Schizosaccharomyces pombe: one gene and its partner. The protein of the gene in region 2 purifies or fractionates together with the protein of the main gene of each other region. This does not show direct contact. Each region holds a gene or a part of one and is shown on either strand. Other genes may lie near its edges.

Region 1 (5,495 bases), 1.4 Mb from region 2:
AGGTCAATTTGCTTAACTCCAAGTCGACGCATGCTCATAAGTACTTCTTGACGTAAAAATTTGGGTGCTCCACAAGGATGCCATTCATTTGGACCTGTACGAACAAGGCCACCCTTGGTAGCAATTATAAGTCCTTTGTAAGGGTATAAAGCTTCTCGTAAAAGATTCTCGCTGACCTCAGGGCCGTAAGAATCGGCGGTATCAATAAAGTTAATATTGAGTTCAGGCAAACGTTTTAAAGTTGCGATGCAAGCCTCTTTGTCTTTGGGTTCATCCCATATACCATCACCGGTAACTCTCATTGCTCCGAATCCCATTCTATTGACAACCATGTCGCCAACCTTGACAGTCCCAGCTTGTGAAGCATCTACGGCGGAAGAAGCTGCAGTTTTACTCATTTTTGTGTCTTTTGTCGCTTTTCTTAGAAATCAAGATCAAGTACTATAGTGGATCCGGTAAGTGTGGGATGTCAGACGCCGTTTCCTTTTATAGTAATTTTACATGGTGTATTCCTTACATAAGCTGGATTGATGCGGACTATCTTAAACCACGAAAACTGATTTATTACATACCCTATTTACAGAATCCAGTGGTATGATGTAAGAGCGCGTTAGACAATATATTGTCATAACGATGACTAATACTATTATAGTACGATATTGCTGGTTGGATTTTGAATTAGAGTAAATAGCTAAGTCCTTTTTGATTTGGCTCTTATTCAATTTAATGATAATTTTATGGTTCCAAAATCTGATGCTGGATGAATTGTCTAAACTGTATCTCTGTCTTCTTTTGCCAGCCCATTTTTATTCATGAGCAACGATGGTCGCACATAACGATAATGATCTTTATTGCTATGTTTCTTTCTATTCAAGATAATGTGGATTTATATTTTCCATCTTCTTGAATTATGCTTGATCGTGCTATCAAATCGTACTACGAGTTATCATTTGGAGACCACAAATGGGTTGACCAGTTCCGTAAATCGAGGTAAACATTGCACATAATAACAATTCTAGGACTGTATTTGAAAGGAAACACATTTTTTGAATTTAGTTGATGATGCCAGTATATTATTAGTGTTATTGACATTCAGCAATTTGTTGTGTGTTTTATAAACACACTAAATACTTTGTACAGTTGCAAAACTTGCGCTCTAAAAATGTTTGCACCGCACTTTTACAATGGCTATTTACTCTTACTATTGTCTTCGAAAAGCTTATAAATTTGGCTGCTAAACATGGGTCGGTAGCTCAAATCGTAGACATAACCAGTCTTTTAAGGTCTCAATTACACCCATGTACGACTTTTAAGGAGGAAGTTGGTAAATAAAAAAGTATATTTGGTTTTCAATAATTACGATTCATTCCTTTCTATCAAAATGAGACGATGTCGTTCTTCGGCAACCTTAAAGAGTGTAGTGGAAGTTACTGAGCCGATCATATCTCGTTTAGAGAGTATAAAGACAATGATTTCTCTAGCTCATTATCAAAGCTTAACGAGATATAAATCGCAGTTGAGACATGAATGCGCTAAAGCTCGAAAACTTGGTTACACTTTACTTCAAATTTGGTAATTACCAAAAGTTGTGCATTGTGGGTACTTGGCAGTAACTGATGATGGAAGAGGATTTATATGATGAGTAAGTGGTCTAAAAACATTTTATAGTTATTTCTAACTCGCCAGGTTTGGAAATTACATAGGCCCTGAAAATGAAGAAGATGAAGAGGAGCTGTTTCCTCAGGCTCCTAGCCCTACAATTGCACAGGTACCATCCTTTGAAGAGGTCATTCCTGATGAAGAATTAGAAGACGTTGAAAGGGCCGAGGAAATGGCGTTGAGTCATCTAGAGCCTCAGAATGCCGTTGTTCTTCACGAGGATAAACAATATTATCCTAGCGCTGAAGAGGTATATGGGTCCAACGTGGATATCATGGTTCAGGAACAGGATACTCAACCCTTAAGCCAGCCCATTATTGAGCCAATTCGTCACAAAAGGATTGCTATAGAAACAACAAACGTCCCAGATACTGTATACAAGAAAGAGTAAGTATGTGTAACAATGTCTTTTCTAACTTTTTAAGGTTCCTCTTCGGTCTCTTAACTGGGACAGATGACGTTAGATCTTTTATTGTTGCTGGCCATCTGCATCACGGCAAAAGCGCTTTATTAGATTTACTCGTTTATTATACCCATCCTGACACCAAGCCGCCAAAAAGGCGTTCACTTCGATATACCGACACTCATTATCTTGAAAGAGAACGTGTGATGTCTATAAAAAGTACTCCACTTACGCTCGCAGTTTCTGATATGAAGGGTAAGACGTTTGCATTTCAGTGCATCGATACGCCTGGTCATGTCGATTTTGTTGATGAAGTCGCTGCTCCTATGGCCATAAGTGATGGTGTTGTATTAGTCGTTGATGTTATTGAAGGTGTAAGTTATTCTGGCCTTTTCTTGCGTTTTGAAGATATAAAGATTCTAACATGCTTTAGGTGATGATTAACACCACTAGAATTATCAAACATGCGATTCTTCACGATATGCCAATTGTGCTCGTCTTGAACAAAGTTGATAGGTTAATCCTTGAGCTACGTCTCCCTCCGAATGATGCTTACCATAAACTTCGACACGTTATCGACGAAGTAAACGATAACATTTGCCAGATTAGTAAAGATTTGAAATATCGCGTTTCTCCTGAGTTAGGGAACGTTTGTTTTGCTTCATGTGATCTTGGATATTGTTTTACATTGTCTAGTTTCGCAAAACTCTATATAGATAGACATGGAGGTATCGACGTGGACTTATTTTCTAAAAGATTGTGGGGGGATATTTATTTCGATTCGAAAACCAGAAAATTTGCCAAACAGTCCTTGGATGGCTCTGGCGTTAGAAGCTTTGTCCATTTCATATTAGAACCGTTGTATAAATTACATACCCTTACTATTTCTGACGAAGCCGAAAAACTCAAAAAACACTTATCTTCTTTCCAAATTTATTTAAAACCCAAGGATTATTTATTAGATCCTAAACCACTCTTGCAACTAATTTGCGCATCGTTTTTTGGATTCCCCGTTGGTTTTGTGAATGCAGTTACTAGACATATTCCATCGCCTCGAGAAAATGCCGCTCGTAAAGCCTCTCAATCATATATTGGGCCTATAAACTCTAGTATCGGCAAGGCTATCTTAGAAATGAGTCGTGAGGAATCAGCACCATTAGTCATGCATGTTACTAAACTTTACAACACCGTCGATGCTAATAATTTTTATGCATTTGCTCGTGTATATAGTGGTCAGGTTAAAAAGGGTCAGAAAGTTAAAGTTCTTGGAGAAAATTATTCTTTAGAAGACGAAGAGGATATGGTGGTTGCTCATATTGCTGAAATATGTGTACCTTGCGCACGATATCGTCTTCACGTTGATGGAGCTGTTGCCGGCATGCTAGTTCTTTTAGGAGGTGTTGATAACTCTATTAGCAAAACAGCAACCATCGTTTCGGACAATTTGAAAGATGATCCTTACATTTTCAGGCCAATTGCTCACATGTCCGAGAGTGTTTTCAAGGTGGCTGTAGAGCCACACAATCCATCAGAATTACCAAAACTACTTGATGGCCTACGAAAAACAAACAAAAGCTACCCACTATCTATCACAAAAGTAGAAGAATCTGGGGAACATACTATTTTCGGTACTGGTGAGATGTATATGGATTGTCTACTTTATGATCTTCGGACTTTATACTCTGAAATCGAAATCAGAGTTTCCGATCCAGTTGCTCGTTTCTGTGAGACTGCGGTGGACACATCAAGTATCAAGTGTTTTTCAGATACTCCAAATAAAAAAAATCGTATCACAATGGTAGTTGAGCCATTGGAGAAAGGAATTTCTAATGACATTGAAAATGGAAAAGTTAATATCAATTGGCCTCAAAAAAGAATCAGCGAATTTTTCCAAAAGAACTACGATTGGGACTTACTAGCTTCACGTTCCATCTGGGCTTTTGGTCCCGATGATCGTGGTACGAATATATTGCGGGATGATACTCTTAGTACAGATGTTGATAAAAACGTGCTTAATAGCGTAAAAGAATACATTAAACAAGGTTTTCAATGGGGGACTAGGGAAGGTCCTCTATGTGATGAGACAATCCGAAACGTGAATTTTCGCCTGATGGATGTAGTGCTTGCACCTGAACAAATTTATCGAGGAGGTGGTCAAATTATTCCAACCGCAAGGAGAGTGTGTTATTCTTCTTTTTTAACAGCGTCTCCACGGCTAATGGAACCAGTGTATATGGTTGAAGTACATGCCCCCGCTGACAGTCTTCCTATTATTTATGATTTATTAACGCGTCGTCGTGGTCATGTCCTCCAAGATATCCCTCGGCCAGGTTCCCCATTATATTTGGTGAGAGCACTTATTCCAGTCATTGATTCTTGTGGATTTGAAACAGATTTACGAGTGCATACTCAGGGTCAAGCTATGTGTCAAATGGTATTTGATCATTGGCAGGTAGTACCTGGTGATCCACTGGATAAGTCTATCAAGCCCAAGCCATTAGAACCCGCACGTGGCTCTGATTTGGCGAGAGACTTTCTGATTAAGACAAGACGTAGAAAAGGTCTGGTGGAAGATGTTTCTACAACTCGCTATTTCGATCAAGAAATGATTGATTCTTTGAAAGAAGCAGGTGTCGTACTCTCTTTGTAATGTCGGTTTTAAGTCTTTATAATGGATTTTGCAAAAAAAAATAAATTGGGTAGATTTTAATAATAAAGTATACGATTATTTATGAAAGTTCGAGAAGTCTAACAACTTTTTTTTGCTTTCAAATCTCGCGTTTACAGTGTATGAAATCCGAAAAATCAGCGCATATCTTGAAGCCGTAAATTATTTGTGAAATCCTTGATCAGAAGGAAAAGTCGCATTTTGGTTTTACGATTTTAGTATATAGATAAATAACTTCTATTATTTATTTTTTTATGTTAAGAAACTAACACTCAACTGAAATAACGTAATTTCATAGTACTATAAACACCCGAGGTCATATGTCATGAAGTTACCCTCTCAGTATACCGGAAGACTTTAGGGACATATACAACTTCCGGAAGTGCTCTGCTTTTGGAAGTAAAATACAGCGAGTTTAGTTAGATTAGTTTATTATTATCCTTAAAACTGAAGATGGGTTTGAGACTTTTGTTTTCTCTCATTTGCGTATTTTGCATATCGAACATTTTTACGCAAGCCTTCTTGGTGCATCAAATATATGGTAATTCCAGCTTCACAAAAATATCTTTAAATCAACTTGAGGGCAGAGATTCTCAAGAGGAACTACAAAGGCGTCAGGAAATCCGATATTATGGTCGTGCCGCTGAAACTGGAGGAACTCCTACTTACTACGGGTATGCGACACCCACTAGCTCTAGTGAACCCAGTATCTTTTCTGAATCTGCTACTCCCTCAGAAACTAATTCTTACTCGTCTCCGGTCAGC
Region 2 (5,633 bases):
AATAGCAGCCGCTCAAATTAAGAAAGTGTTTCTGGAACGTCCATTAAGCCAAACCCCTTTAGATTTGCCAGAGACACTTGAGAATACTCAAATTGATATATATCCCTCCTTTAAAACTGAATCCACTGATGATCAACTCGAGAAAGTTACCCAAACTAATGTTGCTTCAAACAAGCGTGTTGCTCCGTATGCAGATAGTATGGCAAATGTTGGTTCTCCAGAATCTGATTGCTTTTCAGTAGCAACATCTTCCGATATTCCTAAAGCCAACATCGATTTTACCAATGATATTTCTACTCAGAACACTTTTCCAGCTTCTCCGGTCTCAAATTCAGGTTTCAGTAGACAAACGTATCCAAATATAAGCCAAAGACAAGGCGTTAATATGCTTTCTCATAAGCGGAAAAGTGCTAGTACCAGTGACAGGCGATTTGTCAATGCATCTTCAACAAGTGGGATGAACATGCCTATTTCTTCTTCAATATCTGCAAAAATTTCCAGTATACAGAATTCTACAAAATACTCACCCAGGAAGCCCATTCCAGCAAAAGATGTGCGGGTTAGCTCTTTAGTGCGTAGATTTGAAGAGCTAAGTTTACAATTACAAGAAAAGCAAAAACGAGATGAAGAATTAATAAAGGCTCGACGCAAGCGGGCTCTTCCTGTAGTCCCATCTAAGCCGGTAGTAGAAGTATTTAATGACCTTAATGAAGCATTTGATGATGAAAATTCCGAAGATGAGAATGGCATTAATGACACAAAAGAAAATCGCGCTACCGAAAGCAATTTTTCTGGAGTTGATTCTATGAGCAAGGAGCGAGAAAATGTTTCTTCGAATGAAGACAATTCACCTGAAGCGTTTGAAGATATTTTTGGAATTCTTTTCAAAAATGAATCTGGCCTCGAAGAACAGCAAAACCTTGAACCTTCTAGTCAAATGGATAAAGAGGGATCAAAGTTGCCAACTTCTGGTCCTTTGGCTGACAAAACTTCAGTTTACAGGATTTTATCTGCATTTTGGAATGAATGGAACTCCCTCAATCCTCCACCTTTTGAATTTCCTCTACAACCTACAGAGCATATGTTTTCCGACTCAAATGTGATCATAAGGGAAGACGAACCTAGCTCCTTGATAAGTTTTACTCTTAGCTCTCCTGACTATTTATCAAAAATGGTAGAAATTGAAGATAGCATGGACGAAGCTTTAACCAATCAAGGCTTACAAGGCTCGACGCAATTCAAAATTGAAAACTTAATGCTCAAACCAACGGGGACGCATTTGAAATACCAGTTTGAAGAAGGATCAGCAAGACTATCCTGTAAGGTCTTTTTCGCGGAACAATTTAGTGCTTTGCGAAGAGCTTGTGGCTGTGAGGAGACGTTTGTGACATCTCTAGCGAGATGTTCTCTTTGGGAATCTAGCGGTGGAAAATCTGGATCAGCATTTTTAAAAACTTTCGATAAGAAATACATTCTCAAAGTTCTGTCAAGGTTGGAAAGTGACTCCTTGCTTAATTTTGCTCCAGCTTATTTTGATTACATATCTAAAGTTTTCTTTCACGAGTTGCCAACTGCATTGACTAAAATCTTTGGATTTTACCGCGTAGACATTCGAAATCCTACTACTGGTACAATCTGTAAGACTGATATAATGATTATGGAAAATGTATTTTATGATGAATGTCCGTCTAGAATATTTGATCTTAAAGGTTCCATGAGGAATCGACATGTAGAATCTACAGGGAAGGTAGATGAAGTATTGCTTGATGAAAATTTGGTTGAACTTATTTACGAATCTCCAATATTTGTTAGTGAACAACTAAAAAGTCTTTTGCATTCTTGCCTTTGGAATGATACATTGTTCCTCTCAAAACTCAATATCATGGATTACTCTTTAATTGTTGGTATTGATTATACAAAAAAAGAACTTTATGTTGGAATAATTGATTTCATACGAACATACACTTGGGACAAAAAACTTGAAAGTTGGGTAAAGGAGAAAGGCTTAGTTGGTAGAGGTCCTGAACCAACAATTGTTACTCCAAAGCAATACAAAAATAGATTCCGAAAGGCTATGGATTGCTATATTTTAGCATCTCAGGATTTTGAGACTGGGGAAGGTTTTAAGTTTTGCGAATAGAAGAAACGTTAGTTTAATGTATATATTTCGCTGTTTGGTCAAGAAATATGAACAATCTTTTTAATCCCAGTATTTGATAGACCCATCAACTATAGATGATGTAGCTACCTTGCTTGTTTCTTGAGGGTGGAACGCCATGCTTTGTACGGGTCCACTATGAGCCGGGAGTTTAGCCATTAGCTTACAGGTTTTCCAATCTAAAAATGTTAGGTGTTTTTCCAATTCCAAGCACTTACCCCAGAAACAGGCATTTCCGCTCGAATCTCCGCTAAAAACAAATCTCCCTAAAACTAGTTAGAAATTCGTAATAAAAAATGAACGCCATACCATCAGGTGAAAATCCAACTTCTAGGCTATAACCTGAACAACTGTATCCCTTAAAGACCTTCTTTTTGTTTTGTCTATATTTCTCGTATGCCGAATATACGTAAATGCAGTTATCTAGAGATTGACATGCTATCGACTTTCCATTTGGCCGTAAGGCAACCCGAGGCATTGAATGCATTGCAATGTCAGCCACAAATTTTATAGGAACTGGAGTTCCGTATTCCCAAAATCGCATTGAAGAGTCATCAGATGTGGTAACGAAGCGCTTTCCGTTTTCAAGGAATGTTATGGAATTGATTCCGCCGAGATGATGATCGTATGCTTGAACAATATCAGGACTTCTGATATCAAATTGAAGGATCCTTTTGTCAGCTGTTCCTGCTAAAAACTCGTTGGGTTTATCAGGATCTACTTGGAATTTGACGCAGTTTGTTAATCTATCTGAATTAAAGCAGTTCAAACATTTCCCTAATTCGGTATCCCAGAGTTTAATTGTTTTATCAAAACTAGTACTTAAGAATGATCGTCCATCTTGGCTAAATGATAAATCGCGGATAGGACGAGCGTGTCCTTGGAATGTACGAAGCAAAGAACGGTCATGGTAAACTTCCCAAATCTAAATATTAGTTTATCATCTTTTTGCTTACAAACATACCTTTATCTGATTATCCATTGAGCCAGAAAGAAGTAAATGGCCACTAATCGGAAAAAACCTAAGGCAGGAAATACCTTTCGTATGACCTTTCCAAGTGAATATATGCTTCTTTGGAATGTAACAAGTTTGTTCACCAGGCTCTTCCGATAAATTTATTCCGACGTCATTCGGGACATGCATATAGCTTCTATTTTGATAATCAAATAATCTATCTTTATGAAGTATAGTCTCTTCTTTAGAGCGATGAGTTTCAACTTCTGGAGTAGCTAATTGTTCCTTCAATAATTCATTTTGACCCAGGTTATTAGATTCCGTATCCTTTTCACTTTTGACATCCAGGGATTCAACCTCTTCATATTCACTGTACTCCAAAGGTGAAGAGGATTGTTCAGAACCGTATCCGGCCCATGGCCCCTTATAAGCACCATCCCCTTCAAGGATAGATGGATCGCCAGGATCCTCTCTACGTTCTTTTATTTTCTGGGACTTCCTTTTTAAATCTGTAGAAGTAGTAGCTTCGTTATCATCAAAATTTCGTTTTCCATAAATAGCATGTGTATTAGCATAATATTCTTGATTAAATACAAAATTTGGAACATATTCCCTCTCAGCATAACCGGTAATACTGTTCTTTATAGAATCCTGTTCTTTAGTGACAAATGGATTTGCAGGCCCTAAAGCAGGCTGCACCATTTCATTAACCGGGACATTACGCGCTAATTCTCTAGAGTTTCCTCCCTTTGAAACAATTAAATCATCCTTTACCTAAAATGATTAGCATGTTATAAAAAACATTTGATAAATACGTTATCAACCACAGCTGGCGCTAAATTTTCAGTATGCAGAAGAGGTTGGATGTTAGGCGATTGGGAATTCTCCTGTTCTTCTGAATCACTAGAATAGTTTGCAACCAACATAGAAATTGCAAACGGCGAATATGAAACCAGCAAATTCGTATGGTAATGGTTTAAGGAAGATTAAGCTGTAGGGAGGTTTAGCGAGGATGAGAGATTCCTGGCTAATATCAATTAGCGAAAATGAAACACTACAGCTAACTCATACTTCTGCTTATTAGGATAGGTAATAGATAATTCATTGATTAAAAAATAAAGGAATGTAGTAAAAACTAGAAATAAAGTTAGTTATTTAAAGAGGCATGGACTTTTTTAAACTGTAAAAGAAGTTATCCAGTAGTGCATATACACGACGTATGATAAATAGTATTTAATTGAAGTTTGTTTGCTCACATAAGCTCATGACTTTAAAAATTTCATTTTGGTACGATAGTTTACCCCTTTAGTAAATTCATTTTCTAGTGTACTCACAGTATTTTTTGTGTTTGCAAGGCTAGGACAGAGAACCTGTGTAAGTCTAATTTTTTGAAATTATAAATTTTTTAAGAGTTTTTGTTGATTAAACTTTTTCTTGAAGAAAGCTTTGAAAAGCAAGCTTTGTCAATTCAAATTCAAGAATTGGTTTAGTAGATTTAGCTTCTAATTTAACGAAGGGCTTTTGGACATCATAAAGGGTTACTTTGTTACTTTCAATTGTACTAAAATTAAAAGCGACGCACCTATGCATCCTCAGTTGTGAAAACAGCATTCTGGTTTCTGAATTTTTTCAATAAAAAGAATTTTATGTTGAAAAAATGTGGATAATTGAGGCTGAGGGTGACATTCTAAAAGGTATCTCTTACTAGCTATATCAATTTCATTATGGCCGTATTGTACGTACTAAACAGCAGGAAAATCACGGATACTATTTCCAGGAACTTATATTGTAGGTCGAAATGTATCTGGTAAGTTTCTTATTTTTGTTAATTTTCTAATATTGCAGACGATTCGTCCCACATTCAAGTGATTTCTAAATCAATTAGTAAACGCCATGCTCGTTTTACGATTTTGACCCCAAGTGAGAAAGACTACGTACGTATCCAATTAAATGGAAATATTGAGCTTTTCATTTTTCATTTCTATTATATGTTTATCTTTCTTATATTTTAAATCAATGCCAGCTAATATGTGCACAGTTTACCGGTGGCCCATGCGAGTTTGAAGTAAAGGACCTCGATACGAAGTTTGGAACCAAGGTTAATGAAAAAGTTGTTGGTCAAAATGGTGATTCTTACAAAGAAAAAGATCTTAAAATACAACTGGGTAAATGTCCATTCACGATAAAGTAAGTTTTATCGACTATATATGATTTACTAACTTTAAGTGCATACTGGAGAAGTATGTGTATACAATTCGATAACCCTGAAATGTTATCCCAGTGGGCTTCAAATTTAAACCTCTTAGGTACTTCGGTCTTTTTTTTTTTCACTTCTTATCAACTTTCAGGTATACCGACTGGACTACGCGATAGCGATGCTACTACCCACTTTGTTATGAACAGACAAGCTGGGTCCAGTATAACTGTTGGAACTATGTATGCTTTTCTTAAAAAAACTGTAATTATAGATGATAGCTATCTTCAGTACCTATCAACTGTTAAAGAATCCGTAATTGAAGA

Evidence for each region. Proteins that work in one complex are often made in the same cells at the same time.
Region 1: the proteins of prp17 (region 2) and cwf10 purify together in Schizosaccharomyces pombe (affinity purification with mass spectrometry; 3 studies listed by BioGRID, with this or other methods). This does not show direct contact.

The regions. Positions count from the first base shown.
Region 1 is NC_003423.3:4,050,985-4,056,479, forward strand, and holds cwf10 (GTPase Cwf10), read left to right. Parts: upstream 1-1,571; 5' UTR 1,572-1,616; coding exon 1,617-1,642; exon of another isoform or gene 1,643-1,686; coding exon 1,687-2,046; intron 2,047-2,084; coding exon 2,085-2,436; exon of another isoform or gene 2,437-2,495; coding exon 2,496-4,712; 3' UTR 4,713-4,995; downstream 4,996-5,495. Other genes in the region: SPOM_SPBC215.11C (aldo/keto reductase family protein), read right to left, coding at 1-398; protein Mtl3, read left to right, coding at 5,184-5,495. UniProt on the Schizosaccharomyces pombe protein: Component of the U5 snRNP complex required for pre-mRNA splicing. Binds GTP.
Region 2 is NC_003423.3:2,650,052-2,655,684, reverse strand, and holds the start of prp17 (Prp19 complex WD repeat protein Prp17), read right to left. Parts: upstream 4,092-5,633; 5' UTR 4,040-4,091; coding exon 3,929-4,039; exon of another isoform or gene 3,888-3,928; coding exon 3,123-3,887; exon of another isoform or gene 3,084-3,122; coding exon 2,468-3,083; exon of another isoform or gene 2,425-2,467; coding exon 2,377-2,424; exon of another isoform or gene 2,338-2,376; coding exon 2,201-2,337; 3' UTR 2,141-2,200; coding exon of another isoform or gene 1-2,140. Other genes in the region: 1-phosphatidylinositol-3-phosphate 5-kinase Fab1, read left to right, coding at 1-2,140; Mre11 complex BRCT domain subunit Nbs1, read left to right, coding at 4,771-4,807, 4,867-4,920, 4,959-5,047, 5,152-5,300, 5,340-5,419, 5,462-5,633.